Arabidopsis thaliana: one gene and its partners. The protein of the gene in region 3 binds, or shares a complex with, the protein of the main gene of each other region. Each region holds a gene or a part of one and is shown on either strand. Other genes may lie near its edges.

What was found.
Region 1: AT3G05430 (region 3) and AT5G02950 share a complex: the UniProt entries of both Arabidopsis thaliana proteins name them as parts of the PRC2 (polycomb repressive complex 2) complex.
Region 2: AT3G05430 (region 3) and NFC5 share a complex: the UniProt entries of both Arabidopsis thaliana proteins name them as parts of the PRC2 (polycomb repressive complex 2) complex.
Region 4: AT3G05430 (region 3) and AT3G09670 share a complex: the UniProt entries of both Arabidopsis thaliana proteins name them as parts of the PRC2 (polycomb repressive complex 2) complex.

The regions. Positions count from the first base shown.
Region 1 is NC_003076.8:687,738-694,757, reverse strand, and holds AT5G02950 (Tudor/PWWP/MBT superfamily protein), read right to left. Parts: upstream 4,074-7,020; 5' UTR 3,950-4,073; exon of another isoform or gene 3,827-3,949; 5' UTR 3,806-3,826; coding exon 1,907-3,805; 3' UTR 1,659-1,906; downstream 1-1,658. Other genes in the region: AT5G02960 (Ribosomal protein S12/S23 family protein), read left to right, coding at 362-366, 869-1,024, 1,123-1,249, 1,338-1,478; AT5G02940 (ion channel POLLUX-like protein, putative (DUF1012)), read left to right, coding at 5,084-5,169, 5,808-5,863, 5,986-6,071, 6,159-6,409, 6,519-6,590, 6,673-6,745, 6,854-6,952. UniProt on the Arabidopsis thaliana protein: May influence gene expression by regulating the function of the PRC2 complex and modulating H3K27me3 level.
Region 2 is NC_003075.7:14,557,128-14,565,414, forward strand, and holds NFC5 (nucleosome/chromatin assembly factor group C5), read right to left. Parts: upstream 5,475-8,287; 5' UTR 5,396-5,474; coding exon 5,142-5,395; intron 4,650-5,141; coding exon 4,589-4,649; intron 4,480-4,588; coding exon 4,420-4,479; intron 4,322-4,419; coding exon 4,259-4,321; intron 4,142-4,258; coding exon 4,076-4,141; intron 3,959-4,075; coding exon 3,884-3,958; intron 3,763-3,883; coding exon 3,687-3,762; intron 3,615-3,686; coding exon 3,419-3,614; intron 3,294-3,418; coding exon 3,212-3,293; intron 3,122-3,211; coding exon 3,048-3,121; intron 2,960-3,047; coding exon 2,848-2,959; intron 2,741-2,847; coding exon 2,666-2,740; intron 2,584-2,665; coding exon 2,516-2,583; coding exon of another isoform or gene 2,425-2,515; coding exon 2,325-2,424; intron 2,230-2,324; coding exon 2,128-2,229; 3' UTR 1,800-2,127; downstream 1-1,799. Other genes in the region: AT4G29735 (uncharacterized protein), read right to left, coding at 5,835-5,882, 5,976-6,054, 6,246-6,311, 6,933-7,033, 7,148-7,150. UniProt on the Arabidopsis thaliana protein: Core histone-binding subunit that may target chromatin assembly factors, chromatin remodeling factors and histone deacetylases to their histone substrates in a manner that is regulated by nucleosomal DNA.
Region 3 is NC_003074.8:1,564,204-1,572,328, forward strand, and holds AT3G05430 (Tudor/PWWP/MBT superfamily protein), read left to right. Parts: upstream 1-3,420; 5' UTR 3,421-3,541; coding exon 3,542-4,577; intron 4,578-4,972; coding exon 4,973-6,834; 3' UTR 6,835-7,015; downstream 7,016-8,125. Other genes in the region: ACBP4 (acyl-CoA binding protein 4), read left to right, coding at 4-70, 174-235, 493-632, 809-935, 1,015-1,129, 1,267-1,355, 1,496-1,579, 1,662-1,844 and 3 more; AT3G05425 (uncharacterized protein), read left to right, coding at 3,271-3,402. UniProt on the Arabidopsis thaliana protein: May influence gene expression by regulating the function of the PRC2 complex and modulating H3K27me3 level.
Region 4 is NC_003074.8:2,963,570-2,971,068, reverse strand, and holds AT3G09670 (Tudor/PWWP/MBT superfamily protein), read right to left. Parts: upstream 4,869-7,499; 5' UTR 4,556-4,868; exon of another isoform or gene 4,549-4,555; intron 4,454-4,548; 5' UTR 4,433-4,453; coding exon 2,252-4,432; 3' UTR 2,011-2,251; downstream 1-2,010. Other genes in the region: AT3G09680 (Ribosomal protein S12/S23 family protein), read left to right, coding at 778-782, 1,274-1,429, 1,523-1,649, 1,732-1,872; MCM8 (minichromosome maintenance 8), read left to right, coding at 4,903-5,100, 5,367-5,510, 5,584-5,701, 5,788-6,010, 6,105-6,268, 6,567-6,830, 6,929-7,024, 7,124-7,276. UniProt on the Arabidopsis thaliana protein: Together with PDP1, PDP3 and PDP6, interacts with MSI4/FVE and MSI5 to suppress FLC, MAF4 and MAF5 expression by regulating the function of the PRC2 complex and modulating H3K27me3 level, thereby promoting flowering.

The DNA of each region.
Region 1 (7,020 bases), on a different chromosome or scaffold from region 3:
ACGGGTTATGCTGATGTGGCGGAAGTATTTATTCCCAGTATTAATTAGCATCAGAGTATACGTGTATGTCATCTAATGCGTCCATTAGATCCAACGGTTTAGAGTTCAGCTTTTAAAAGCCCAAAAGAATGATGAGAAGTTGAGACAATTATAGTCAATTTTTTAAAAGCCCATGACTTAATGGGCCTACTAATTGATGGGCCAAGTATTAGAAATCCGCGGAGGTAGAACCAGCTTCGCATATATTAAGAGTCACTGCCTTCACTAGGTTTAGGGTTTTCTCAGCCGCTTAAGAGCTTATCATCTTTGTGCTTCCTGCAAATAGCTCTTTGCTGTTGATCTTTCTCCTCCATCAACAAACATGGGGTACGTTTCTCCTCTATTAGATCTATCCTTCGTGTTCCTATCTCATTTCTCTGTTTAGCGTTTTATTTATCTGATTCACTTGCTGTTTCCATGAATTATGAAGGATTCTATAGAGTCTGCTGTGTTTTTTTTTTGTTTGAAATTGTTACATGTTTTCGACTTTTGATTGTGGTTTTTGATTGGAACTGATTCTATAGCAAATGCGTCTTCATTTCTGGATATGTTTGCTAAATGTTTTTTATGTATAGATCCACAATAGATTGTGTAAATTTTGAGCTACTCTGGAGTTCTAGTATGGTTGATAACTGGAGATTTAAAATTCGCTGTATGAGTATCTATGGTCTCTTGGGTTTTGAAGCTCACTTTTGCTGATGTATTAGAGATAAATCTTCTATCGTCTTGTTATTATTTAGATGAATTTCTTATTGATTTTCTGAGTTTTAACTATGGTTTATCGAGTGAAGTTGTTCTCAAATGTTATTTTGTGATGATTTGTTAACAGTAAGACACGTGGTATGGGAGCTGGGCGTAAGCTGAAGAGACTCCGAATTAACCAGAGGTGGGCTGACAAGCAGTACAAGAAGTCTCACTTGGGAAATGAGTGGAAGAAGCCTTTTGCTGGTTCTTCTCACGCTAAAGGAATTGTTCTTGAGAAAATGTAAGTCTGATATAACATTCAAGTTTACTTTTTCTTATAATTGATTTGTTGAGTAGAGACATTGGTCGTTGATGAGACTCTTGTGTTTGATGATGCAGTGGTATTGAGGCTAAGCAGCCTAACTCTGCTATCCGTAAGTGTGCTAGAGTTCAGCTTATCAAGAATGGAAAGAAGATTGCTGCCTTTGTCCCCAATGATGGTTGTTTGAACTACATCGAGGAAAACGTAAGTCACATGAAATGACTATTCAATCATCACACTATGGATTAGTTTCATTCATATGCTGATACATTTCTTGTTTATGGTGTTGCAGGATGAGGTCTTGATTGCTGGATTTGGTCGTAAGGGTCACGCTGTGGGAGATATTCCCGGAGTTAGGTTCAAGGTCGTGAAGGTTTCTGGTGTTTCACTCTTGGCCCTCTTCAAGGAAAAGAAGGAGAAGCCAAGATCTTAAGCAACCCGTACAAAAAGCTTCAAGCTTTTGATATGGTTTTTGATAGTTCAGTTTAAGTCTTGTTCTGTTCTACTTTATGTTTCAAGAACTTGATTTTGTGTTACATTTTATGAGTTTTTGAATTAAGACATGATCGTTTAATGTTATTGGTGTTTAATCAATTTACTCTTTTAACTTATAAGCCTCATCTTCAGTTGCGACTAACTTTACTGTTATCATTGGTATTTCCAGTTTTGGTTTTGTATGTCATAAAGTTAAGAATTAGTCTCATCACACGAATGTTACTTTTATTTATCGAAAACCTACTCTCATCATAAATCCTAGGTTACGTTTATTTATCGAAAATCTACTCTCATCATAAGACCTAGCTGATGATATCTGATCAGACCCTAATCTCTGAAAGTTAAGAGATGCCGTGACTCAATCAGTCATGTTGTTTTTTTCCGTTTGGGGCAAACATACTCGAGTCTGTAACTTAGAAGAGAAGGTCCAAAGATGCTGTATTTCCCTGCGCTGCTAAAGGCAGTCTTTGCGTCTTCCCCTCTTTTGAACACAACTTTGGCTCTCTTACCCTTCATCGTGACCTTAGTCTTAGACTCATGGAGAGGACCGTAACGTTTAAATATCTCGTTCAGCTTTTCTTCAGATGGAACCGAACCTGAATCCGCAAAGTTGAGGACTAAAGCATAGGGTGGTAATGAATCTGCAGAACAGTCCTTGAGACCAATTTGCTCTTTCGAGCCTGAGCCAGTGATTTCTTTATTTGCAGGTAATATCTCTTCTTCTGCAGAGTCTTTCTTATCACAAGGTTCTGATGTCTCAGTGATACTTGCCTTCTTTGAGTCACCATTGAGTTTACTGCAAAACAGTTCATTAATGAACTTTTCAAAATCTTCATAATTCGAGGGGTCTATGTTGATTGAATCAGGTATTCCCGTTGAGGTATTGGCAGCGTGAAGGCTTGAGAGCATCTCATCAGGAGAAGAAATCTTTCTTTCAGCAAGCTCTTGATGTCTCGGCTTCTTAGTCTTCTCATTCTCAACTTCCGTAGATTTAGAAGCACGGCAAGGCTTAAGTGTAGGAGTTAAAGAATTCATCTCATTTTCCACTCCAGTTCCATGACACGGTTCAGCCGTCTTCTGCAGTTTATTAGTATCACCCACTGACAAAAGACTTTCCTCATTAGAGTGTTTAGACACTGAATCCTCCTTTTGCTGACTTTTCTTGATCCTTTTCTCAGACTTACCAGATTCCGAAGACTCAACCTTACGCTTCTTTTCAGAATGCGACTTACCATCCAATTTCTCAGTTGATCTGCTCCCACAGCGTTTCTTTACAGTCAAATCTGACAAAGTCTTCTCCTTTGTCTGTTCAGCATTATCTTTATAATCTGTCTTTCTCTTTTTGGCAGATATTCCTTCATCCATATTTACTTCTGGGAGAGAAGCCAGGGTCGCAGCAGATTCCACCGACCTTACAAATGTTTCATAGTCAATGAAGTGAGAATAGTCTTTCCATTGTTGAAAAGCCAATACCTGAGCTCGGTTAATCACAAATTGCAGCTTCTCAGTCGCATCATAGCAAGGAAAGCAAGCTAAATGCTTCATATAATCCACAAGTTTAGCAGGTTCAAAAGAGATTCCATCCGATAACTTGTCTCCACCGTATCTAACACTTGAGTCCTCACGAATTCCAGCATTGATTATGTTCTGAGTCTTGAGTTTGTTATAGGCTTCCTCTGAAACACAAGAGCAAGATAAACCAAACTCTACTCTCCTTGAAACCTCATCCAAAGCACAATCAATAGCATCACGAAACTCAGCGGAGTTACTCTGCTCCTGCATTTGAGAGAAATTCTGATGAAAAGGCTTTATCTGAGATGCATTATTCCAAGCAAATGTACAATCCCCAAAATACGCAACCAAGACATTTCCTTTCTTGAAGTGCCTCATCGCAGCTTTAGAGGCAACAGATTTATCAAAGACCAGTCCAGGCCACCATGGATAACTTCTTAGTTTAGCCCAAACCAAATCTGAGTCAAAAAGCTTCAGATTCTCTTTAGAAAATCCTTTCTTATCCTTGTTCTTAAGCAGATCTGAATCAGCATCAAAATCAACCCCGTTACAGAGACTATCCTTATCATCACGAGCAGAGACAAATACTTTTCGCTCAACTCCAGTGAGGTTCACTACCAAGTCCTGAGCTTGAAAGCTCATGGGATCAGCTAGGGTTTCAGATGTGTGAGCCATACCGTAGTCAAAACTCGACGCATTTATGGCAAAATCAGCGTTGGAGTCAGATTCGACTCCTTCTGGTTCCGTAGACATAACGAGCACCAACAAAAATCCCTAGACAACGAAGAAACAAAAAAAAGCAGAAATTGCTTCAGTATATGCTTCCATTAAAGCAAAAACAGTACATCATACGAGAGACGAAGAAAATAATCGGAGAGCAAAAAAGGTGGACAGAACCTCCGGTGGCGGTTACGGTTTCGCCGGCGACGAAAGCTTAGATTTTGGGTAATGAAGAAATAACAGAGTTTCTTTCGTTTTGAGGGGGTTTATGAGAGAGCTACGTGTACGTCACGAATTATTCCACGTGGCAGTACTTGATTTTGTCTCGACTCATCACAACCATACATTATTACATTGAGTGAGGTTCAAAATTTTCAAACTTTTGCTTTTCCCTCTTTATTTGAACTTGAATTTGACTTGTTTTTACTGATATTAAATAGAATAGAATTTTACTACAAGTAGATTAGAATTTTACTACAACTAGTTTATTTCTAAAGAATTAAATTTGTTAATTTTATGTTTAATGAGAACCAAATGTTTTCCTACAACATTAAGACACTTTTTTATAAGTTTTCTAAACTTGTTTAATAGTATGTTTTACTAAAAAGTGATATTTTGAAAAACCTCTTTTGGGGATATTTTTAAATACTCCTCATAGACTAACAAAATAATATATCAATTCATATATAAACACAATAACACCGTTTATTGTGTAAAGTGCTTAGCTCTCTCAATGGTCAAAAAATGCAAAATCCATTTTCTTGTTATGTCTTTGTCATTTTTATTGTTATGTCATGTGGCGTCTCAACATTGAGAGGATATTTTGGGAGCCAGTAACGTTCGAGATTCAAAATTGTGGATGAGATTTTAACGATTGAAACAAAAGTACTAAAAAATAGTCGTTTATTAGCACATGTACTCTTTTTTTTGTTTGGACAGCTATTAGCACATGTACTCTTATATGTATGTATGTATATAAAAACGTGAATAGTGAGTGGAATAAGAGAAAGTAGTTAAAATTCAAAGCGATAAGAGTACCATTTTGTTTTTATTATATTCTATTCTATGGACGCGATTCCTCTGCGTTGTTTACCTATTCAAATGAAGTTCTAAGCCAAAAAAAAAATTAGTCGATTTGTTTTTATGTTCATAACACCCCACGGGCTAACTAATATGGTCCAAAACAATATAACAACAACAAAATAATCACGCAAAAATCTAAAAAACCAGCCTTGTGTCCATACTCCACCCACATATATAAGGAGAGAAACAAAAAGAGCGTAAGATAAATCAAGGAGAAGATTAAGAAAGATGGTGGCTGTTCAGTTGTTTACCTGGAAGCCATTGATTCTACCTTCTCAAGCTTTGACAAGAGATCGATTAGCTTCTTTTCACAGGTTTTGTTTTTGTAATTTCTTTCTTATACTTGATATTTCTGAAAACAATTGCATGGTGGTGACTTTATCCATAAGTGATAAGATGATGATTGTGAAGTTTGTGATCCTCAGAAGATTTTGAGTGTTTTTGTTAGAAACAAGCTCTTTATTTCCAAACAACTGATACAGATACTTAAAGAACACGGTATTTATCATTTAAGCGATCAATACTAAGTAACTCCTCTCAACAAATTCTATATTCTAAAAGAAATGCCAATGCCTCTGTTTATTTCTGTGTCTTCTCTTCTTTTCTTTATAATCCGAACCCTCTAGTTCCGTCAGCGTCTTCTTCGTCCTTATCTTCAAAACTTGCTTGGGCATATATCACAGTTTATTTTTGTTGTTTCTTCTTCCGGTGAATTTTACTTCATGTTTTGCTTACAGTAAATGTAGCCAAGTTCAATGGTTTCGATTAGAAAATGTGACGGTTTTAGTTAGGAGCTCTGAATTTGGGTTTAGAGTTTAGTTTCAAATGGAATTTGGGTTTGTAAGATAAAGGTATATCGTAAATTGATTCAAAATCTGGAAATTGTCATTCAATCAAAGCTCATTGGGTTGTGATGTTTACAAGTTGTGTATCTCTGATTCTTTTTTTGCAGGAGCTTGAGTTTACACTCTCTGCCTTTAGGTGGGATTAAGTCTTCTAGTTTCAGAGGTCAGGTTCTGTATATTTTTCCAACTTTGATGCAATTCTTTACGGTCTCATTGTTGCTGTTCTTCCACAATTAGACTCATTCTTGATTAGCTAATTGTATTTTTTTTCTCTCTATATGACAGGGACCTTCAAAGTCAAATCTCAAAGGACAGGAGATACAGAGCCGCCTAATAAAAACTTCAAAGATTTAAATTCCAAATTCTATAAGGTGAATCTATAGAATGAGTTTCATCACTGAATGTGTTATCACTCCATATGCTTATAATAATATAATCTTGTTTAATTAAATATGCAGAGTCTTCCATATAAACTTGTGATAGGATGCATCCCACTGTATGCGGTGTTGAGAATAGCGCAAAAGATATTTCAAGAGCTTCCAAATCTCATTCAGAATTCAGTGAAGGCTGGCTTGCCTTTTGCATGTGCATCAAACGCTATAGACAAACATCCTTTACTCAAGGCCATTCCTTCTTCCCATGATATCAAATGGGGTCTTGCAAGGTCTTCTTACCTCTTCAATACTCAGCTTGAGAAGAACCTTGGCACGTACGTCCTTAAACCCCAATGTAGTCTCAGAGTTTTAACGAGTATAGCTGTTTGCAGGCATGTGACTATATATGACATCCGTTCTGATCACTTGTCATGGCTATTGTAGGGTATTTGTGGTGCTCCTGATAACATGCTTTTCGTTTGTTATCATTGGAGGACTCTTCTTTTTCAAATTCAGGTAACTTAGCTATGTTTAAGAACTTCTTGTGATATCCATTGCATGGTTTCTTACTTTTATTCCCCTCCTTCTTGTTGTGAAGGAAAGACACATCCTTAGAAGACTGCCTCTGGGAGGCCTGGGCATGCCTCGTTAACGCTGATACTCATCTGGAGGTCATGATTTGCTTCTTCACAGAACAACTTATATTAGTCTCACGATATTTCTATGGAGTTCTTGCTTACTAAATAAATGCCTATGTATATGTTTACTGCAAACTGCAGCAAAAGACACGCTTCGAAAGACTCATTGGATTTGTCCTAGCCATTTGGGGAATAGTGTTTTACTCTCGGCTTTTAAGCACAATGACAGAGCAATTTCGGGTAAGTTCTTGAGATAAACATTATTGGTTAATTGGTAAAAGTTATCCTGATCGATGTTGTCTTGGGCA
Region 2 (8,287 bases), on a different chromosome or scaffold from region 3:
ATCAAGACTTAATTGATATCTATGGTTACTCATAAAAATATTGAAATAATCCATATATGCATTCCTTCTACGTAAAATCCACAATAACATTTTTTTTCTCTGTGACACAACATTTATTAACTCTTTTTTTTTTTAGGCAAAAAACATTTATTAACTCAAAATGTGAAAAAACAAGAATAAAAGCAAAGCATAAAGACAAAATCTGTGCGAAGGCTTTTGTCGGTTGCGATGAGTTTGCACATCCCGAAGAAGCTCTGGCTCTCGGCGAAGAGAATCAACTTTGAGTTCGTAAACAAATACATCTAAATTTTATTATTATTTTCTCAAGCTGTGTGTGTTATCTCTATGTACTTTGATGTACACAAAATCATAATATAGTATAAAATAGGATATAATATTAACATGAGTTGCTTCTTCCGATATATTCGATAAATTGGAACAACAACACTAAATAATATACAAGAGCAACCTCCACCATTATTTTTGGACATAACTATATCAAGTTCAAATAGAAGAAAAACGATTTTCACAGTATGTGTAATATACCACAGTTGATCAATCTTATTTTTTTTGTAAGATAGAGAATCTACATGCCAAAAGATTATAGAGATATAAATACGAAACGGAGAGGTTTGACGTTGCAACTATATATATGCATATACATAGTCTGTGTAGATAGGTAGAAGGAAAGTCAAAATCTCGAGCTCCAAAAATCTAGCTACTATGGTATTTCCCGTGACCCTAAGGACTTTTCCTTGATCTTCGAAGCTTGAAAATGACACACTCGCAGGTTATTACGTGTTTCATACTCATATAGTTAATATGCAAACTATAGATGCGTTGTATCCATTTATAGATCATAACAAGAGTAGTACTGCTTAAAAGCTTTGCACTCTAGACAAACTTTAGGCTTAAAATTGGTTCACCACACACACATCGTTCTCAAGTAACAATAGTACTAATTTGGTGAGCCAAAATGCTATAATGAAATGAGGTAAATGATCCATCTGGATTACTTTGTAAGGAACACCAATGATCGGCTTGAATGGTGTAGCATCACTACAACAATTTCGATAGGGGGCAATAGAGAGGCAGACCAGAAAAGGGGTTTAATGGCTAGGATTTTTAAAAGGACTAAATCTTGAACAATGAAGATATAGTACTCCTTGAGCCACAAATTTGTCTCCCCACTTCCAAACAAATAGTTTGGCATATTCACATACACATACAATGATACAAAACTCAAAACGTGTGTTTATGTATATATGTGTGTGTTTGTATGCGTCGACAAAGAAGGTTTTGTTTGGTTATAGCTGCAATGAATCAATGATGAGAATCCAACAAAACCTAGAGAAGCCCCTATGAGATGGTCTTATATCTATAAATGAGTAGTGTACTTAATGTCAGATAAATCAAAACCCCATGAAAGGCTTAGTACCTAGATGTTTTTAACTAGAGAGAGAGAGAGAGAGAGAGAGAGAGAGAGAGAGAGAGAGAGAGAGAGAGAGAGAATCTACTAGAAGATATTATGCAATAAATTTCCTCAAATGTTGCTACCTAACTCCCTCACCCCACAATCCCAAGAGTATTAAGTTCAATTGTCTGCAAGTTTGTATAGATGTCAGGTCTTAAGATTGCACAAATCCTTTGTAGATCTAATGAGTTGATCCGGTTCAACCCGGTTTACGCAGAACCAATCTTGCTTGAAATGAAACCGAATAGAGGTGAAGAGCGACGATTTTCTATCTGCTTTTGTTGTTGGAAGTAGAACTGAACGGTTCAGGGACACATGAGTCAAATGTCAAGCACTTGAGATTTGGATTTCACTGATTCAATCTGTTGTTTTAGTTTGGTCTTGCTTAACCAAGTTTGGATTCACAAAAAAAAAAGTTGAAAATACAAGCAAGTTAGGTGCCTAGGATTAACCTGAAGAAACAGGATCAAGTACCATACAAGATTCCGGAAGTCCTAAATCTACCAATATGTTGAATTACTGGCCTACATAAACCAAGTAATATTCCGCAAAAATAACACCTAAATCGCATAAGTAAACTGATTTTCCTCGCAAAAACTGACACTAAACCCCAGCAACTTACTAATACTAATAGACATGATGGGATTGCTTCCTCAAGACTTGGAGGTACATGTGAAAACATGTGACTTGAATTTCTCTAGCTCTGTCAGGACTTCATCTTCCGGTCTGTAAATCAAGTCACTCATCCGCCATATCTGCATTAATTTACAAATCAAAAGTTTTCATTTTTACCGAGAAAGTTAATCATAGGTAGGTTCCAGAGTAAATGTAGCAAGACATTTAAAAGTACCTGCAATGTACCACCTCCACCGATACTCTCACAATTATCAGAAACACTGACAATAGTCCAAGGGTTCAATAGGCTCCAGTGGAAGTCGACCACTTTGTCCCTAAGAAGATATACACGAGGAAATTATAGATTCCACTGAAGAGAGTAAAAGGGAAAGGCAAGCAAGTGAATTAGAATTAAGTCTTGAGAACCTGTGACCAGCATGCTGGAAGAAAAGCCCATCAGGAGTTTTGGTTGCACGCTCAGACTTCTTGCCAACCTGGTGCACACATATATGTTAATATGGTGAGCTTGAAAGTAAGAGAATAGTTTTAAATGTGAATGTGAGAAATTGTACTAACCCTATCACAATCCCATATGTTCAAGAGACCATCTTCTGCAGAACTCCCAAAAACAGATGATTTATCAGGAGACCACTGAATTGATAACGAAGCAATGTCATTGGGGATAGGTTTACAGGACAAATAATATGAAAAGAAAAAAACAAAAAAAAAAAACAGAGGTGGTGGCATGTTGTTGAAACCTGAACACAAAGAACAGCAGCTCTGTGGCCTTCAAATTTGTAAACAGGTGAACCAACTCCATTTGAGGTAAGGTTTCGGCGGTCAAACACACGGACAGTGTTATCTGCTGACCTGGAAAAGTGATGTAGAAGCGTAGAGTGAGAGGACGAGTAGCATCTCTGTACTTTTGGACAAGTATTTAAGTTTGTGAAATCAGTACCCAGTCAGGATCAGATTATTGTCATGAGGATTCCAATCGACACAGTGAAGATCAGCATCATGTGCCTTCTCAACCTGCCAGCGCACAAGAAGAAACAGACGGAATCTGAAACAAGACCAAAAAGTTAAACCTCAAATGTCGATCTGGCTAAAAAAAAGAGGTACCTTCATGGCAGGACTAGTGCCAGTTCTTGCGTCCCATAGCATAAGGCAAGAATCGTCACCAACACTGCAGAATTCTTGTGCACTGTAGGACAAAACAAAAAATTACCAATTTTTTTATACCAAAAGCATCAGAAAATTCTGAGTAGGTCTGCATTTGGGTGTAAACTTAAGAGCTTATTAAAAAAGGAGACTGTCCCAAGAAGTTACCTAGATGGACAGAATGCCACGTCTTCAACAGTATCTTTGTGGCCATTATATATGCCTCGAGGGCCAACAGAAGGACCACCAGTTTTATCACTACCTTCACCAGTCTGCTTGAAGCTGGATCCAGGGGATTTGGAATCCGAACCAGCCATTGTGATATGGTCTTGGATATTCCACAAAATAACGGACTTGTCCTTGCCTGCACGGAAGAATCTTTGATGAGAAACTTGCAAACCACAAGATATGACACAAAAATAGAACTGATACAAACCTCCAGAGAGAACAAAAGGTTCGGTTGGGCACATTGCAAGAGCAAATTCAGCATCATCCTGGTGCCCAATTAGTAACTGAAAATAAAAGTTGTTCAAATGATGCAAAAAGAGTAGCTCTTTCGATTGTTAATATGATGCACAAGCAGGTTGTTTAACTCAGTGAGACAACATAACGAAAATTCTCACAAGAGCATACCAAATCTGGACGAGAATCTGGAGCTCCAAGCACAGCATACCGGTCTGGTTGAGTCTCAGTGTTCCAAATGAGAATCTGAAAACCAATATATCATACTTGCATGACTGAAACTGGAACTATTCAAAAACAAGGATACTGAATAACGAAAGCCTTTTTTTTGTCACGCTGATGACCCGAGAAAGCAGAACTTACATCAGGACTGTCGGTGTGAGTAGCTACAATCTTGCTATTTTGAGGGAGTTCCCTAATTCTGTTGACCTGCGATGAATGAAGGGTACACAAAACAAAATCTTTTTCAGCACTCAAGTCCTAAACGAAATGCAGATTCAGTAAATCCATCTAAGAAAAAACAATGAGAATACAGGAATATCACACCTCTCCAGGGTGGATGATGGTCTTGTACTTCTTCACAAATGGAGAGTGTGCCTTTTCATTAAGCTGAAAGCATATAAAGAAACGGTATTTCAATAATTTCATCTCAGCAGAGAGTAACACAAGGACAAAAGCACAAGCTTTGGTAGAGAAAAACTAATTACCTGCCTATTAACAGTTTCGCAATTGGCTATGACCAAAGTATTAGGCACACTGCCATTCGTCTAATGACAGAACCAAGAAAAAACGGTAAACATAAGGAGCAGTAAACAAACTTTGGATATTTTTCATCAAGAAAAAATGTACAAACCACAAGAACAAGAGCAAACTCACTTGTTCCGAGAGATAGAGACGTTGAGTCTTAGAACCTGCTTGCTCAAGCTGTGGCCCCCATCTGCTCAAATCAAACAACAGGATTACAACGAAATCGTACCTCTTTACACAAAAGCTAAACACTTCACTAAATCGTAGCACAGCTAAACATCTGAAACCAAAAAGTAACAAAACAGAACACCTAAACCGAGTTGGTCAAGTGTTATCAACGACATCATTTTCCTACCAAAACAAGTTCCAGAGGTTCAAAAATGGAAACATCAGATAGCTAATGAGCTAAAAGCCTAAAAGAGAAAGAAACACAGAAAAGCATGGAGACTGAGCTAAATTAAAAACCCGAACTAGAACATGTCCTAATCTCACAAATTCCAGAAACCAGCTAAGAAAAACTCTCAATCTATGAGTATTTCACTAGCTGAAACGGAAATGTAACTCAATCGCCTGACCAAAAGCACAAAGCTAGAATTTTTATTTCCCAAAAAAGAACCAACTTTCTCCAAAACCAAAGATCGAAAACCCTAGAAACAGAAAACCTATAAAAAAAAACACAGACCTGCAAGAGAGAGAGGGCCAGACGAGGGTATGATTAACAAACGAATCATAGAGAATGGGAAGAAGAGTCTTCCACTGAGAGTAAGTGTCGTCAACGGTGGCCTTTTGACTCTGCTGTAGCAAAAATGGTAACTGAGACTCGTTGTTGCTCTTAGGTTTCCGTCTTCTCTTATCCGTCAAAATGGCTGTCACCGGAGTCCTAGGTGCTCTTCTCGGCCTGGTGGCTTGAACAGTCGCTGCTGCTTCGCTTTCCATTTCCTTCTTTTCTCTCGTTTTCTCTCTACTCTCCTTTGTTTTTTTTATAATATTATTATTTATGCCACGTGGAGTAAACTTCGTCCCGGCAAATACCCAATAGGCAAATACTTAAATTAGCGAATTAAAATGATTTCTTCACACTAAAGAGTATAATCAGTATCTTCCCATTACAAAATTTGAGTAAAGCTTTCTTCTAAATCTTGGTAGAAAGTTACTAACTGATCAACTTAACAACGCAAACGCTGTTCTAAAGGCGGTGAAAATTGAAACCAAAACTCGGTTTAGCGTTCAAAAGAAGAAGATAATTTAATTGTAACTTGGTGTTTAAAGGCTACTTCTCAAGTCTTAACATTCATAACTCTGATTTTACTTGAACAAAGATAAATCTGTTTTTTTTGTCTTTGAACTAGTTGGGAATAGTATTGAGGAAGAAGGATCAGACATAAACACCACTAGCAAGTAGCAAAAACAACGATCCAAAACCCTGCAAATAACACAGAAACAGATTTTAACCAAACATTAGATTTAAAGAAAACTCTTAAACTTAAGTCAAGAGGGTGAAGAAGAAAATCCATACCAAGAAGACAGATGCAACTGCTGAAGTAGCGAGCTCCTTTCCGACGCTTCGGTTTTTCCTGGATGATGTAGCTTCATAGCTGCAACACAAATGTTATGACAGGGTAAGTTTTGATCACTCCTTGTTGGGCTGAATGAATCTAAACCAGCACAATGAATACCAAAAGAGTCCAATATGACCTTATTACAAAGAAGCTAAAATGAATGGTTCAAGTCTATCTTAAAGTTTTGACTCGAGGCTAACCCACATGCTCTCGTAGCCCAGACGCACATTACTTTAACAAACCGAATCATATCTCCTAAAACTTGCCACCCTTTGAAAGGTAAATGCTCCACGCTTAAATGAAAATCATACAAATCTAACTTTCTTGTATCTTAACTAAATCGATAATCAGTCATTTTGTCATATTCAGTGAAACTATTAGAGTACTGATTCCATTTCCATAGACTATCACCTTATCATTGATAAATTTTGAGTCTTTATATCATGATAGTATATAGAGCTCACACATTTCCAAAAGGTTACTAGATGAGTCCCATGACTTTCTTACTTTTTACCCAGAAACTTTAGTAATAAGAAAGGCACATATTTCAACAGATTAATCTAGCAAAGAGATCATGAAAGTGATGAACATGTAGCTTCAGGAGCTTTAGAAGACCTATCTCTAGAGAATAGCAATTGAGAAAGCATTGTGACCAAACCATATATATAAGCAGTAACAATGTTGGTCAAGCTTCATACACAGTGAACAAACAAGAGGAGAGCCTCACACGATTCATAGTTCAGAACCTAGTCATGACTATCACACACTAATCAAGCTTTATGAAAATCAAGATAAATCATAGGTAGATCGAATCTATCAGGAACTGTTTCACTAATCTGACATCAAGTAATATAAATTGAGAACAAGAAGGGGCAATTTCGAAGATCTAGAGATCAGATCAATTATTAGCTTACATGAAGAAGATAGCGGTAATGACGAGACCAATCGCAAGAGTGAACACCGATAAAGTCGGATACAGCGCCACCGGAATCGGACTCGCAATCGGTTTCGCCGCCTTCTCACCGGGAACGAGCACAAACACACCAAACAAAATCAGAAATCGTAAAAGCAACAAATAGAGAGATCAAATTAGCTGTGACTGAAAGCACTTGGACGGATCTAGATTTACCATTGTTGCTAAGCTCTTCTTCTTCTTCTTCGATCTGAGGAACAATGAAAAAGCTATTTGACTGATCTCGCTCGCTTGATCGCTTCACTAAACAAACACGAGTCGCTTCCGGTTTGTACTTAACCGGCTTGTTATAACACAACCACGGTTATTTTATGGGCCAGTTTTTCTGTTTAAAGGTTCGATTTAATAGGCCCAAATATACTTATTAAGGCCTTTGATATAAAATGTGTTCATATCTTTATCTTCTTTTAACGTTGTATAACTTTATTCAAAGTGCAATGTGATCCTTTACCATTTTCGAAAATTGAAATCCACTTCAATGTAGACATCTCCAACTCCTTGTCAATCAATTTCCGGATTGAAGATTGGGTACTCTCTCTAGATTTAGTTCCCACCTGAAAATATGGGACCGGATGTAATAGTAACAGATTTTTGTATTGGTCAACAATGACTTATAGATTTCGTTTTTTTCATGGAAAGGACTTAGAAATTGGTTAGGGTTTAATTTGTTGACCAATACGAAAATATGGTCCCAAAGAAGTGTTGCCATACTAAATGACGAAAACCGGCTGCCGAATATTTCTATAGGTAGGACATAGAACTTACATCAATTTGCGACCACATATATTGGAGGTAGCATTTTAATCGTCTCTAGACTTAAAGGGCTATAGCAGATAGAGGAGACGGTTTACTCACTCGTTTGCTATTTGCAGATATTTACGAATTTTGGCACATGGATCCAAGAAAACAATTCTGCCTGTTGTGTGTGGATAGATTTTATGCAGAAAAAAAGTACTAGTCCATCACATTTACTTTAAAAATTAAATCAACGGCCTAGTATTTTTGTTCGATTATAACAAAACTATTATAAAAAAAAAAATGTACTTATATTTAACACTATTGATTAATTAATAAATGAATCTTCCGACTGTTTTCTTTGTAGGGCGTGATGTAATCACGGGACGGTGAGTCGGTGATATCATTCGTGTGCTTCACTCTCTAAACATATAGCGAAGTAAATTGACAAAAAAAAAAAAAACAAATAGTTAACCGTCGACAATTCAATAATGGATAGAGTTTGTGATTAAATCATCTATAACATATATATATATATATATATATATTAATTAAATGTTT
Region 3 (8,125 bases):
TAGATAGCATGGGACAACAAGCTGCTGTCTATCGGTGGTCACACAAAGGATCCCTCAGAATCTATGCAAGGTTAGCGTTTATATACCTTTGAAGACGATAATTTGCACATATTTATAAGATTTTTCTGGAATCTCAATGATTACATATCACTTTCTACTGTTTCCTGTCACAGTGAAGGTCTTTGATCCCCATACCATTACATGGTCAATGTTAAAGACATATGGAAAACCACCGGTATATCTTCACTTCTCTCATGTTGTCTCATTTGCTTTCCTGTCACCTTTGTATGAAAATATTACAGTTTTATACAAAAAAAAATTTGGCCGTCAAAAGACAAAAAAATAAAAGTTGTTTTCTTTCCTTACCCTCCCATAATATCTTCAGGGTTAAGGTGCATCTAAATCCAGAATTTCTCCTTGCTAATTTGGAAGTCAAATATGCATTTTGGTTACTTAAATTTAGACTTTCTTATAATTATCTCTTGCTTTTAGGTTTCACGTGGAGGCCAGTCAGTTACAATGGTGGGTAAAACCTTGGTGATATTTGGCGGGCAAGATGCAAAGAGATCACTTCTGAACGATTTGCATATACTTGACCTAGACACGATGACCTGGGATGAGATAGATGCCGTGTAAGATTTTATGATGTTTCTGCATTTTGTTCTCTTTCGAAGAAGTCAAACCCATTTAAGATTAGATATATAACCAGAATATGAATATGTTAGAAATCGACCTCCTATCTCCTTTAGTATCTTAGTCGTTATTGAAAGATTAGCAATTCAGGATTTAAATTGGTGTCAAATTGCAGGGGTGTATCTCCATCTCCGAGGTCTGATCATGCTGCTGCAGTGCATGCAGAACGGTTCCTTCTTATCTTTGGTGGCGGCTCACATGCAACCTGTTTCGATGACCTGCATGTCCTTGATTTGCAAACTGTAAGTTAAGCTAAGAGTCTATTCTTTCAGCTGCTCTCAAACATGCTTTGTCAGCCTCTGATATAATTGTCACATATAGATGGAGTGGTCAAGACCAGCACAGCAAGGTGATGCACCAACTCCAAGAGCTGGACATGCTGGCGTGACAATTGGGGAGAACTGGTTTATTGTTGGTGGCGGTGATAACAAGAGTGGTATGTTAATGCACTTTTCCCTTGGAAATTTTCTCTTCCCAACCGTTCTGTTTATCACCCCCTAGAACAAAAGATATTTGCTTGGGTTTTTTTTTTTGTGTGTGTGGGGTGACTAATTTTGTGACAAATTACTGCAGGGGCATCGGAGAGTGTTGTACTAAACATGTCAACTCTTGCATGGTCGGTCGTTGCTTCAGTTCAAGGACGTGTACCTCTTGCTAGCGAGGTACTTAAATAAACAGACTTTATCCATATTAATTCCCAGATAGCTATACAAATAAACACGGTAGAAGCCTTTTCAAGACTTCGAAAAAAGTCAAGTCATGCTTATTTCATTTCCATCGTCCTTTCCTTTGCTACTGACAGGGATTAAGTTTAGTGGTGAGTTCATACAATGGTGAAGATGTACTAGTCGCTTTTGGTGGATACAATGGACGTTACAATAACGAAGTAGGGACTGTGATCTGAACCCATAAGTTCATTTCTCTTAATTTTTCATTTAGTTCTGCTTCTAATTCTTATCTGGCATTAGATTAATCTTCTTAAACCAAGCCACAAATCAACATTGCAAACAAAGACTCTGGAAGCGCCTTTGCCAGGTAGTCTTTCTGCTGTTAATAATGCCACAACCAGAGACATTGAGTCTGAGGTTGAGGTGAGCCAAGAAGGCAGGGTACGGGAAATTGTCATGGACAATGTTAACCCTGGATCAAAGGTATCTTCTTGTCAAATTTCCCTCCTTAATATATTTTGCATAGCACCACCTTTTGATTTGTTTGAGAGAATTGAAGCATCTTATGCATATATGCTGTGGTAGTGATTGTGTCGACACAGAATATAGTTACTCCAGTCCGGATCATCACCTTCTCGCACTCTTATTATGTTTTGGGTGATTAATCCCCAGGTTGAAGGAAACAGCGAACGCATTATTGCGACTATTAAATCTGAGAAGGAAGAGCTGGAGGCATCACTGAACAAAGAGAGGATGCAGACTCTCCAACTAAGGCAAGAGTTAGGAGAAGCAGAATTACGAAACACAGATTTGTACAAGGTACTAATATTATCACCTTCTTAAAACAGAAGCCGACATGAATAAATTGGTGAACCAATCGTTCATAAAGACTGGTTGCAGCAGTCTTCCAATTGCATTCACATTTAACATCTGAAATCTCGGAATTTTTCCTCGAATATGATATACCTAACTTTGTACTGACATTTTGTAGGAACTTCAATCTGTTCGTGGCCAACTTGCAGCCGAACAATCAAGGTGTTTCAAACTGGAGGTACTAAACCGTAGCCACATCTCTTTTGTACCATAACCTACAGAATTTGGAATCTCGTGAAACCCGTGATTTAATGACTACATATACTCATATTCCAGGATGAATAGGAATCTTGATTAGAACATTCATCCATTGTAACCACTGGATCTATCACATATCTTCTCTGTCATTTATTGATAAGCTTCATCACGTCATAAGAACAAAAACAAAGCAAATCTAATTGGGTCACTTTCTCCGAATCTGCAGGTTGATGTTGCAGAGCTAAGACAAAAGCTTCAAACATTGGAAACACTACAGAAGGAACTCGAACTCCTGCAACGTCAAAAGGCTGCCTCAGAACAAGCTGCAATGAACGCTAAACGACAGGGCTCGGGTGGCGTATGGGGCTGGCTCGCTGGAAGCCCTCAGGAAAAAGATGATGATTCGCCTTGATCATTTTTGGTCCGGTAATGCCATTTTCCTCCGGACGATATTTGCTTTCAGTAAAGAAATATATATAGTTTTTTTTGTCTGAGTCTCTCGCATTGTTTCTTCTTCCAATAAGATATTTTTTTAGCGAGCTTTGATTACTACCGATGTTTAGCTTTGTTCTCTGTTATACAAGTGATTCACCAGAATATTCGTTAACTTTTTTGAAATATTTGTTTTGGGAGTGTCTGACAAAATTATGAAAACTAAATCAGTTTACGATCAGCAATCATAATTTTCTTATATTTACGAGTCTCTTACTCTCTTCACTCTTTAGTCTTCGTTTGCATTAAAAATTAAATTAAATTTACCTCACTTCGTAAGTGGACAAAAAATCACGTTTTAGGCAGCAAAATAAAATAAAATAAAAAGATCACGTTTTTTTGTCCCATGACGTGGCAACCTATTACTGGATGGGAAGTTCGACCGTTCACCATCACCATTTATGACGCTGAGAAGTTACCAAAATGTCCTTCTCACCAAGTGATGCTTTTGTCATCTTCTCCAGCTTTACTCTCATGAAATTTCTTAAATTTTCTCTTCCAGCAAACAATCTCAGGATTTAAACAAAGTTACGCATCTTCTGGCTTCGAGTTGTTTCTAGGGTTTCATTGTTATGAAAGCTCTTTAACACCGAGGGTTCAAGTGTGGTTAGAGAGAAATGAATTCGGCTGAGGTGAATGTGAATCCTAGGGTTTTTGGTGATAGTTTCGTTACTTTTTCTGGCAATGGCTCCGGGAAATTTGAAATGATTGATCAGGCCGAAGCTTTCCTTATGGAGCTTGATTCGGTTGCTGCAGACACTGGAAGTGATGGAAATGGAAATGTCGATTTAGGTTCTCGAGTGTCTAACAGTGAAACGGAACCTAGATTTTGTGAAATGAAAAGAGAGATTAGAGACTCTGATCACCGATTTTATGAGCTCTGCAACGAATCTGGTGAGAAGAAAATGGAGAAAAGGCGAGTTCCGGACTACAAATCTTTCTTATCCGAATTTGACGATTATGTTGCGAGGGAGAAAATGGGTTCTAGAAATTCGAAGGCATTGAGCTATGGTTTTGAAGTGGGAGATATGGTTTGGGGAAAGGTAAAGTCACATCCATGGTGGCCAGGTCAAATATTCAATGAAGCTTTTGCGTCTCCCTCTGTTCGTCGTGTGAAGAAGATGGGTTACGTTCTGGTTGCTTTCTTTGGGGATAATAGTTATGGATGGTTCGATCCTGCTGAGCTTATCCCTTTTGAACCTCATGTGAAGGAGAAATCACAGCAAACTAGTTCGGATCACTTTGCAAAAGCTGTGGAAGAAGCTATGAATGAAGTAGGTAGAAGGTCAGCTCTTGGCTTGACTTGTAAATGTCGGAATCAGTATAACTTTAGGCCTATTAATGCTCAAGGTTACTTTGCTGTAGACGTGCCTGATTACGAGGTCCAAGCTATTTACTCTTCTAAGCAGATTCAGAAAGCTAGGGATAGTTTTTCATCTGTGCAAACTCTAGCTTTTGTGAAGCGGTGTGCATTAGCACCTCAAGAGTGTGATACAGACAGCTTAAAGTCTTTCCAGAAGAAAGTAGCGGTTTGTGCATTCCGTAGAGCAGTGTTTGAGGAGTTTGATGAAACATATGAACAAGCTTTCAGGGCAAGATCTGTATACTGTTTAATGAAGACACATGAACCACTTAATAGAGCACCCCTTCGAGGTAGATTCACCTTTCAGCGATCCTGGCATTGTTTTGAATACATTTGTAATATTTCTGCTTCCAAAATCGAATTTTATGGAGTTTTATTAGATCTTTCTCCTATGTATCACAGAGATACGGTACTCTATAAATTGGTGATCTCGTTGAGTTTGTTTTTCTGTTTCTCGAGCCATATAGGCTACATTCGAGAGTTTTGTGGTTTGGGTATCCTTCGACATCAAAAATGCTTTTCTTAAGGTTGTTATTGTAGGATTTATAGCTATGAAGTTGTATTCTTAGAATGCCTCAAAAGGATATGGCATATCTTTGATCTTAAATTCTGGATTGTGAAATCTCATTGTGTTGGGTGGTTGGAATAGATTTCATATTTCCTCATGCATTGCTTGTGTTTACAGTCCCCTTGAGTGGCTCATTGGTCAGTGCAGAAACTCTGGGCAACCCAAAGAGCTACACAAAAGCTATGAATGTAAAGGATTCTACTAAACAAGACAAATATCTTCCAAAAAGAAGAGAAGAAGCTGGTGATATGACAGTTCAATTTGGCCAGGTCCAAGAATCTTCTCAGTTTCAGGGCATCAACGGATCTTCAGCTTGGGATCGTCTACTCCAGAGAAGGACTCCATGTCTCCAAACTCCCAGGAAACATGAGCAGACTGGGCTTGTCAGCATGAACTTCACCTCTTCAAGTGGTAATATTCCTGGAAAGAAATCCTCTGTTTCAAAGCTCTCTCGTGATGATGACAAGGGTTTAGCTCAAGAGTCAGATGTGAGAATGGGAGAAAAAGCAACTCTATTTCCAGATCAGGAGAAATTTGAACCAATGAAAAGCCTTAAACAAGATGAGACTGGAACAAATTCTAGATCTAACAAAAGCTCTCTCAAGCTTTTTAGTGGTGGGAAATTTTCTGCAGGAGTTGGGATCAAGAAAGGCAATGTCGTGAAACGGTCTTCTGGCGAAATGAAATCTGAGAATTGTCCTCCAGAACCAAAGAAAAAGAAGAAAGAGTATGTGTCAGAGCTGAACCGTGACACTCCAGATAAGAGGAAAGCGTTATCTTCTGGAGAAGCTTGGGCCAAGAAATCGTCACAAGTAGATTCAGCAAAGAGACGCTCCAATATGTTGATAGTGAAACTTGATGGTCTGCAGCTGTTGAGTAATTTGCTAGCTCTCTCGCTTGACCCTCTCTTTGGATCCTCAGATAGAAGTTCTTTTAGAGTTATAAGGCAGTTCTTTTTTCATTTCCGATCACATGTTTACCAGAAAAGCTTGGCCACATCTCCTTCCGCAACAAAACTGTCAAAATCTGCAAAGACTTTGTGCAGAGCTAATGAACAATCAAAGGCTGGGAGAAACCGCATATCGTCTGACAGTCAACAAGATGTCCCATCAACTAAGAAGCTAAAGAAAACCATTCAGTTCAAACCACTGGCTTCTGACAAGAAAACAAACCAAGATGCAACAAAGAGATCAAGTCTTGCACCTTTAAATCCAGTAAGAGACCAATGTCGAGTTCCCATCAATGCCAAACCAGCTATAGTTCAACAAGAAAAGAAGACGGGTCCATCTGCAATGGTAGTTGAGCCAACAATGCTGGTCATGATGTTTCCTCCTGGTGAATCTCTCCCTTCCATTGATCTGCTTAAGGCGAGGTTTGGACGCTTTGGACAGTTGGATCAATCAGCCATCAGAGTTTCCTGGAAATCCTCGATCTGCCGTGTTGGCTTCCTGTATAAACTCGATGCGCAGACTGCCTTAAGATATGTATCAGGAAGCAAATCTCTCTTTGGCAATGTGAATGTGACATACTTTCTCCGTGACATGAAAGCTTCTTCTGCATCCGGAGATCATGAACTGAAGAAAGCCAAGAGGCCCAAGACAGACAAACCCATCACTAAACCATTGAACCAGCTACTAGAGCAAGCACCGCCGGTTCACCAACCAAACATCCAGCTCAAGTCTTGTTTGAAAAAACCAGGCAATAACCGTAATGGTAACCACAGAACAGTACGAGTGAAATTCATGTTGGGTGAGAAAGAAACAGAGTCACCATTTTCGGTTTCGATTCTTCCTCTCTCTTCACAAGACTCAGAACCAAAGCCTGTAAATAACCAAGTGGACCACGTCGAGCCACCACTAGACCCGTCACAGCTTAAGGTGGACATCTCCCTGCAGATGATGGAGCTGTTAACAAGGTGTAACGATGCTGTGGCCAACGTCACGGGTTTGTTGGGTTACGTCCCTTATCATTCCTTATGAAAGATTACATTAAAGAAAAACAAAAGTCTGTCCTTAGGTATTATTAACTAGTATTATCTGGAGAAGGGTATCAAAATTCAAAGTGAATAGAACATCTCTCTTTCTCTAAATATCCACATTTGACATATAAACCGATTTTAAACCAGAATGTTTTTCTAACTTTACTGGTTTCCAGTTTGCCAAAAAAAAAAAAACTTTATTGGTTTCCTATTTTAAAGCCAATATCAAACTGCAAAAAAAAAAAAAAAAAAACAATTAACCAAATTTGCATGAAAACTGAAACCAAATGCGTTTTAATTCTGCGCGTTTGATATTAGATCTAACATTTTAGAGCATAACAATATCCTACTATATTATTTGGAAAGTACATAACCTTACTTTTTGTAATTAATTACATGCCATTAGAAAAATTTAATCAAAAACAAAATCTTTTAATGACATCATTAAGATTATCAAAATTATTTAACGACAATATTCATCTCTTAATTATAGGGCTTATTGGATTTAAAGACGGGTCATCAAAAATTTCCTAAACTAAAGCAAAATATACTGAATATTCAAATATCTATCTGTTACCAAATTATAAACAAATAAGTTCGTAAAACGATTTAATATTTTATATACGAAATCAATTAAATCTTAATCACATAAAAATTAGCACAAAAAAAAATATGGTACATTTGGGTCTATAGTATTTTTGCAAGACTTTTTTGGTGGATTTTGGTAAAAGTGCATTCGGCCCCTATTAAATAAATATGGTACACTCCTAAGTTATTAGCTAAAATGTTTAGATTATAATTCAAAGTCATATCATAAATAAAATTAATATTAATAAAATAAATGACTTTTTGGCAAGACGAATTTTTGAATCAACATTAATAAAAAGTAAAATATAATTAATCCACTGTTTCAATACGGGTTAAATCTTTAATTTATTATTTTTAATAACAATTAATATATATAAATACTTAATAACAATCATAAATTGTAAAATATAAATATTTTATAAAAATAAAATTTGCAAGTTTTAATATATATTACTTTTAAAAAATAAATCATCCCGCGGTATACCGCGGGTTAAAATCTAGTTTAGTTTATTTGAAATCAGATATTATCGGATCTAGCAAATATATTTTCTCTTGTCCAATTGATATTTTTCCAACAAGATAGACAATTTTCGATGTTGTAGAGGATTTTTTAGTCATGATCATACTAATAATCGTAAAAGTTTTTTAAGGAAAATCTTTTTTTAATACAAATTTCTTATAGTTTCGATTCATCGTGATTGTAC
Region 4 (7,499 bases), 1.4 Mb from region 3:
TTGACAGCAGTTGTTCGTTTGAATTCACGAAGGGGGAGGAACAAGATCGATGATGAACAAGGAGGAAACATCAAAGCGAAGGCCCTTCTTTAGCTCTCTTGAGGATCTTTACGACGATGACTATTACGACGACCAATTGCTGAAAATAAGAGGCTGTTAGGGATTTGGTTTTTAGAATTTAGGGATTTGATTTTTGGAATTTAGGAATTAAGGATTTGTTTTTTTGGAATTTAGAGATTTTGAAATCAATTTTAGGAATTTTGATTTTTTGATTTCAATAAAACGACGTCGTTTTGAGTATTGACGGAAACTAATTAACATGTGTTAACGGAATTAACGGATCCGTTAATGAAAGATAACGGCATGGAGACTTTGGCGTAGTCAACAATAATATTTGTGTGAAACGGCCGGTCAACGTTTTTATTATGTTTTATTTGGCCACACAAAAATTTTCGTATTAAATGGCCATTTTTTAAAGTTCACGTATAAAACGACATTTTTCCCGTATTATTACCTTAAGGAGTTGGCATAATATTTGGGTTGACATGTGATGGGCCTTCTTGTTAAGCCCAAATATAAAAATAATCATTTGCCGTTTAATCAATTTCATTGCAGACCGGTTAATGCCTAAACCAGGGCTCTCACGAGTCTTGACCCAAGCCTATATATACCTATTTTCTTATCACTAGGGTTTTTCAATCTCTCACGAACTTAAAACGTCGCGCCTTTAGCAGTTTCAGCTCATCTCTCGACTTTTTCACTCGCGCCGTCGTCAACATGGGGTACGGTATCCTCTCTTAGACTCTTTATGTTTCAGTCTCATCTCTCCGCTTATAAGTGATCGTGTTTTTGTTATGTCGGGTTTAGGATTTGTTTTATGTTTTTTTTGTTTATTCCGGTTTCTCTTTGGTGCCTTGCCGTTTTCGTTATCTCGGGTCGGGATGGTTGAATTAAGGGATTTGAATGACATTCATACGTCGTGTAGTAATACTTTGTTAATCACCCTGTTGAAGCTACGAAGTTGCTATAATTCGTAGTTTTTTCTTATAAACGTTGGAGTTATTTGGTCTGAAATGTGGAAATTATGATTATGATTTTTGATTTTTTTCCTTACTACACTCTCCTCTTGTGTTAAGTATTTGTGATTTAGATTATAACTTTATGTTCTTTATCAACTCCGAATTTGTTTTATATGTTCTGAGTGAGTTGATTTCATCTGATGAAATGTCCTTTGGTTCTCAATTTCTTTTATCTTCTATTTGAATATCTTCAGTAAGACACGTGGTATGGGAGCTGGTCGCAAGCTTAAGCAGCTTCGGATTACTCAGAGGTGGGCGGACAAGCATTACAAGAAGTCTAATCGAGGCAACGAGTGGAAGAAGCCTTTTGCTTGTTCTTCTCACGCTAAAGGAATCGTTCTTGAGAAAATGTAAGTTTGTATAAACATATATATTTACCATTTCTTGATTTTGTTAGTAGTATAGATCTTGACTTTGATGAGACTCTGTGTTTGATTATGCAGTGGTATTGAGGCTAAGCAGCCTAACTCTGCTATCCGTAAGTGTGCTAGAGTTCAGTTGATCAAGAATGGTAAAAAGATTGCTGCCTTTGTCCCCAATGATGGTTGTTTGAACTACATTGAAGAAAATGTAAGTTAGATTGACATCTACTTTTGAATGAGTAATCAAATTATATTCTTACCAATTACTCATTCATTGATACTGTGTGTAGGACGAGGTGTTGATTGCTGGATTTGGGCGTAAAGGTCATGCCGTCGGAGATATTCCCGGAGTTAGGTTCAAAGTGGTGAAGGTCTCTGGTGTCTCACTCTTGGCCCTTTTCAAGGAAAAGAAGGAGAAGCCTAGGTCTTGAGCTCTACTACATTTTATGAATTTTTTTTGATATTTGAAGGCATGTCTATGTACTTATTCAGTGACATCTCTTATTCTATTTTCCTCCGAGTTGAGGTTAATTTTGTTTGGATTCTAATTTATTTATTCAAATTCATAATTAGTTTTGGATTCAAATGAATTATTGACCATTAAATTGCACAAATCTGGAAAAACAAAAATAACTTTGTTACATTCTCTCACTAGTGTTTGTTCAACTCTGATTAAATCATACAATTCTAAACTTTGAAAGAGAAGAGAATCCATCTAAAAGGTATATTCCACTCTTGGGTACTAACAAGAACCGGACTCGATTTTAGAAAGATCTGTATTAGTGGGTTAGACGCTGATGCTGAGCCTTCCTACTCTGCAGAAACATCTTCCTTGCAACTATCAGATCCACCAGAGCAGTTCTTGTTACTCGGCTGCTCTCTCAAGTCCAAGCCACTGATTTTCTCCCCGGTTAGATTGCTGTCCATAATAGATTTCTCATCCGCTACATTTGCAGCTTCTTTCTTATCCTCATGTACGACCTGCTCCTTAGAAGAGTCTTTCAAGTCTCTAGACTCCAACATCGGGTCCTCCACAAGGTTAGTACTAGGAGCTTCCTTTCTGACCTGATCAAGTTCTCCGGATAGGTTGTGGTCTAGGCTGACAGAATTGGATTTCCCACTTGTGGTTTTGGTAACAGAAGCAGCGTGAGGGCTTGAAAGTGTAGTTGAAGGAGAAATTTCTCTTGCTGATAATGCTTCGGCTTTAGGTTTCTCCTGAAGACTCTTTCCACTGCCATTGCTCTTGGCTGCCTTTTTGGAGGTCGAATCACTGCAAGGTAAGAGTCTGGTTGGTGTTGAACAATGCATCTGGTTTGCCACTTTCAATATGCTTGCCCCAATTCCGAAACTTTTTCTAGCTTTCTGTGGTGTAATCTTATCACCAGCAGACAAATTATTTTTTCGATCATTTTTGGGAGAAACTGGAGATCCTGGATCCTCTGTTTGCAGGTTTGCCTTAATCTTTTTCGTGGACTTGGGAACTTTTGACTGCACAACCTTGCGTTTCTTTTCGCAATGCGGAACATTACCAGACTTTTCATGTGATGTGTTCCCATTATGTCTGCTTACGCGTTTCTCAGCAATGAACTCTGCCAAAGTTTTCTCCTTTTTCTTTGGAACAATAGTTTCTTCATATTCAAACACTCCATCGTGTTTACAGTCACCTTTATCAGGATCAGAAACTTCAACTAAGCTACTTTGCTCTGTTTGCAGGTTTGTCTTTCTTCTTTTAGTATAAACTTGTTTACTCTTTGTTGGTTCAGGATCAGAAACTTCCACTAAGCTACTTTGCTCTTCTGCAGGAGAAATCTTGGGTGCAGACTCTACTGACCCCTGGAGTGTCATAAACTCGGGGAGGTCAGTATAGCCTTTCCAGCGATTAAAAGCTAATAACTGTGCTCTCTGACTTACAAGCTGCAGCGCATCAGTAGCATCATAGCTAGGAGAGCATGCTAAACGCTTCACATATCCCACAAGGTTTGCAGGTTCAAAGAAGACTGCACTTGAGACCTTGTCTCCACCGTGTATTGAGCTTGAATCTTCTCGGATTCCAGGATTGATTACATTCTGAGTCTTGATCTTCTGATAGACTTCCTCTGAGATACAAGAACAAGCTAAACCAAACTCTATCCTTCTTGATACCTCTTCTAACGCAAAATCAATAGCATCAATAAAATCAGGTAGACTACTCTGCTTTGCCATTTGGGAGAAATGCTGTCGAAAAGGCTTAATCCGTGACGCCTCATTCCAAGCAAAGGTGCAATCTCCAAAATAAGTTACTAAGAAACTTCCTTTCTTGAAATGCTTCTTCGCCTTGTCTGTTGCAGCCGAGGCATCAAACACCTGTCCAGGCCACCACGGATGGCTCCTTACTTTAGCCCAAACCAAATCTGAGTCAGAGATCTTCACCTTCGCAGCTACATGGGCAATTTCATCATCCAAAATACTCTCATCCTTGCTCTCATGCGGTTCTAAACCCATAAAACATACAACATCCAAGTCCTCAACTTTTGTTCCTTGCTTTTCTAAGCCATCGGGTTTTCTATCCTGAACAAGGTCTTCACTATCCAGTCTGCCATCAGAAACCTTCACATCACTGAGATCAGCGCCATGAGAACAGACCATGTCAGGTTCCACTTCCTTCTCAACAAGAAGCCCCCTTTTCTCTACCATCATGACCTCTTCGCTATCTACTAGAACCTTCTTGTCACTTTGGTTACTCTCTCCACCTACATTTTCGGTTCTAGTGCCTAGATCTAACTCTCCATTTACAGATTCCGTTTCCTTAACAAGATTAGTAAATCCATTTACTTTCTCCATCCCATTATCACCAGCTGAAGCAAAGTTGCCGCATCCTTCTTTATCATCTCCAATTGTTTTCAGCTCCTGAGCTTGACCAGCTAGGGCTTCAGACATTTGATCATTTCCGACCTCTAAACTCGACGCATTAGCCTCTGAGACTGATTCAATACGTTCTGATTCCGTCGACATAAGCAGTACCAAAACAAAACCCTAGAAAATCATCAGAAATTTTCTTCAGTTCATTTCCCAACAAAACATATAACAGAACCTACAGGTGAAGAAAGAAAGATAGAGAAGGTGCTCACAACAAACCTCTGGTCACGGTGGTGATGAACAGCGAATTTTCCGGCGGCGGGAGCTCGTTTATAGAAATGAAGTAAACGAAGACGTCAAATCGAACCAGAAACGGGTTTCTCGTTTTTTTTTTGTTGTTGTGAATTTTTGTGCGGTTCAGTCCACGTGGCGGACAACTAAAGCTTTATTAATTGATTTTATCCTTTCTTTTGGTTATCTTTGGGTTTTAGGGTTCAATCATTTGGCCCACTTACCAAAAACCCATCACAAAAAGCCCTTTACCTTTTTCCCGCCAAAACCCATTGGCCTAAGCGAGATTTTTCTCTGCGACTGACGACGAGCGAGTTACAGTGGGTTAAGCGGTGATGGGATTTTACGGTGGTGGAAGCATGGCATCGGGTCGCCCTGAATCAACAGGAATTGATTCTCTCGGCATCGGGAAAATATTAGCTGTATACATCAAGGACAACGAGAATTTGGCCATCGACGAGGATAAGTTGCAGCTCACGGCGGAGCTCATCCGCGTATTCTCCGCATCACCTGGTAGAGACATAGTTTCTCAGGTACATCCTCACTTGGCCATCATCAAATTTCTGGTAAAAAGTTTATAAATCTGAATTTTATAAAGCTTGGTATAGCTTGATTTCGAAATTAAATTCCGGTTATGAAATTGTAATCTATTTAGCTAGATTTCGTTTCCACTCTACTTCTATGAAGAATTAGGGTAGATAGAAAACGATTAATCAACTTCTCTATGCGTCAATTAGTTCTTCTTAGTATCTAAAAATAGGAGAAACAGTTTATAAGTTTATTCCATGGCTTGAGCCAGGTGAATGAAGACGGTGGTGGTTCCTTCTCTTTGTCTCTTGATCTCCAACAATTCAAGAAAATATCTGATATCGAGAACTTTTTCATAAATCTAGAGGATAATCCTAAAGGAGTTATCCCATGTATGAATGCTGCTGTTCACAAGGTATGCTATTACTTTTCATTGGGGTTTGTTTTCTTGGTTGGCATAAGATGAAGACTTATGTCATCTCTCACAGGTTCTTTTTGATCAATGGGAGACTAATGAGTTTGAGAATGTTATGAAGATCAATGTTCGTCTGCATAATTATCCTGAATCTTCTATCTCCCTGAAAAACCTGAGAGCAGCTTATATTGGTAGACTGTCTCATCTAGCGAAATAAATAATAAGATGTAAAACCTTAAGTGAGACATAGCATGAGTGTGTGCTTTTGAAATTGCAGGAAAGCTTGTAACCGTTCATGGGACTGTTGTTAAAGTTAGTACTGTGAAACCCCTTGTCACACAGATGGCTTTTGACTGTGGAAAGTGCAAAACTGGCATAACCCGGGAATTTACTGATGGAAAGTTTTCTCCTCCACTAAAATGTGATTCCCATGGATGCAAGTCCAAAACGTTTACTCCAATCCGGTCCTCTGCTCAGACAATTGATTTTCAGAAAATCAGGTGTTCTCCTATTTGCGTCTCATCATTTTGTGTACTTCATCCTTGTTAGTTATGTATCTGACCATTGTTAACCAGCTGTCCAAATGCATTTTAGGGTACAGGAATTGCAAAAGCCTGAAGACCACGAAGAAGGACGGGTACCCAGAACTGTAGAATGTGAGCTGATGGAAGACCTTGTGGACATATGTATCCCTGGTGATGTGGTGACAGTTACAGGGATTATAGGAGTAATTAATAATTACATGGACATTGGGGGAGGTATTGATTTTATAACTTTTCATGGAGTTCTCTCCATCCTTGTTGTGTCCATAATTTGCAAACATTAACATGCCCAAACGCCTGCTATCCTTACCCGTAGAATAGCTGGAAATTTGTCTCTTAAAGTTCTCTTCCATGGTTTTTGGGAATCTCATTGCAGGAAAGTAAAATAGAGCACTGCTAAGTTGTTTGTTTTACTCATATTGACATTTTACCAAAGATCAAGGAGCTAGAAGCCTCATTACTGGTATTAAGCCATACTCAAGCTTAACAAACATTTAAAATGCTCCTGTTTCAGGGAAATCGAAGACCAAGAATCAAGGATTTTACTATTTGTTTATAGAGGCAGTTTCAGTGAAAAACACCAAGCGGCAGTCTGCATTTGAGAACTCAGAAGACTCTAGTAGCAGTGCCCAGACTGCAGATGTTGGTGACTTATATTCATTCTCTCAGAGAGACTTGGAATTTATTGTGAAGTTCAAAGAAGAATATGGTTCTGATACATTCCGTCGCATACTTCATTCAGTCTGCCCGTCTATTTATGGCCATGAAATTGTCAAAGGTTATACTTCTGTCCATAACAAGATTTGATGATTACAATTAGAAGCATTGCATATCATGATACGTCTGTTGTTTGTTTTCTTCTTATCATTTCAACAGCTGGGATAACACTATCTCTTTTTGGAGGTGTAAGGAAGCACTCGATGGATCGGAACAAAGTTCCAGTCAGAGGAGACATTCATGTCATTATTGTTGGTAAGCTTTTGAACCATGTTTAGCTTGAGCTGAGGAAAGGGTATTTGTAACTAGTTTGTAGCACGAAATTGTGATTGATGATTTTCGATGCACTAATAGGTGACCCAGGATTGGGCAAAAGTCAGCTCTTGCAAGCAGCAGCTGCCATTTCCCCTCGTGGCATTTATGTATGTGGTAATGCGACGACTAGAGCAGGGCTCACCGTTGCTGTAGTGAAAGATTCCATGACAAATGACTATGCGTTTGAGGCTGGTAGCTCATACCCTCTCCTTTATTTAGCCCGCACAAATCTCAGTATATAGCATATTATTCTACTGTTTCCGATATGGGTTTGAGTCATGCTGTTGATGGATAGTTTTACTTAATACTTACTTAGTCTAAAATTCATTTCTTGTCTTGATGCTTGAGGTTGTGTATGCCTTGTCGGTTTCAAGTGATGTCATTTTATGTGGATGTTATATTACTGTCTTATAGT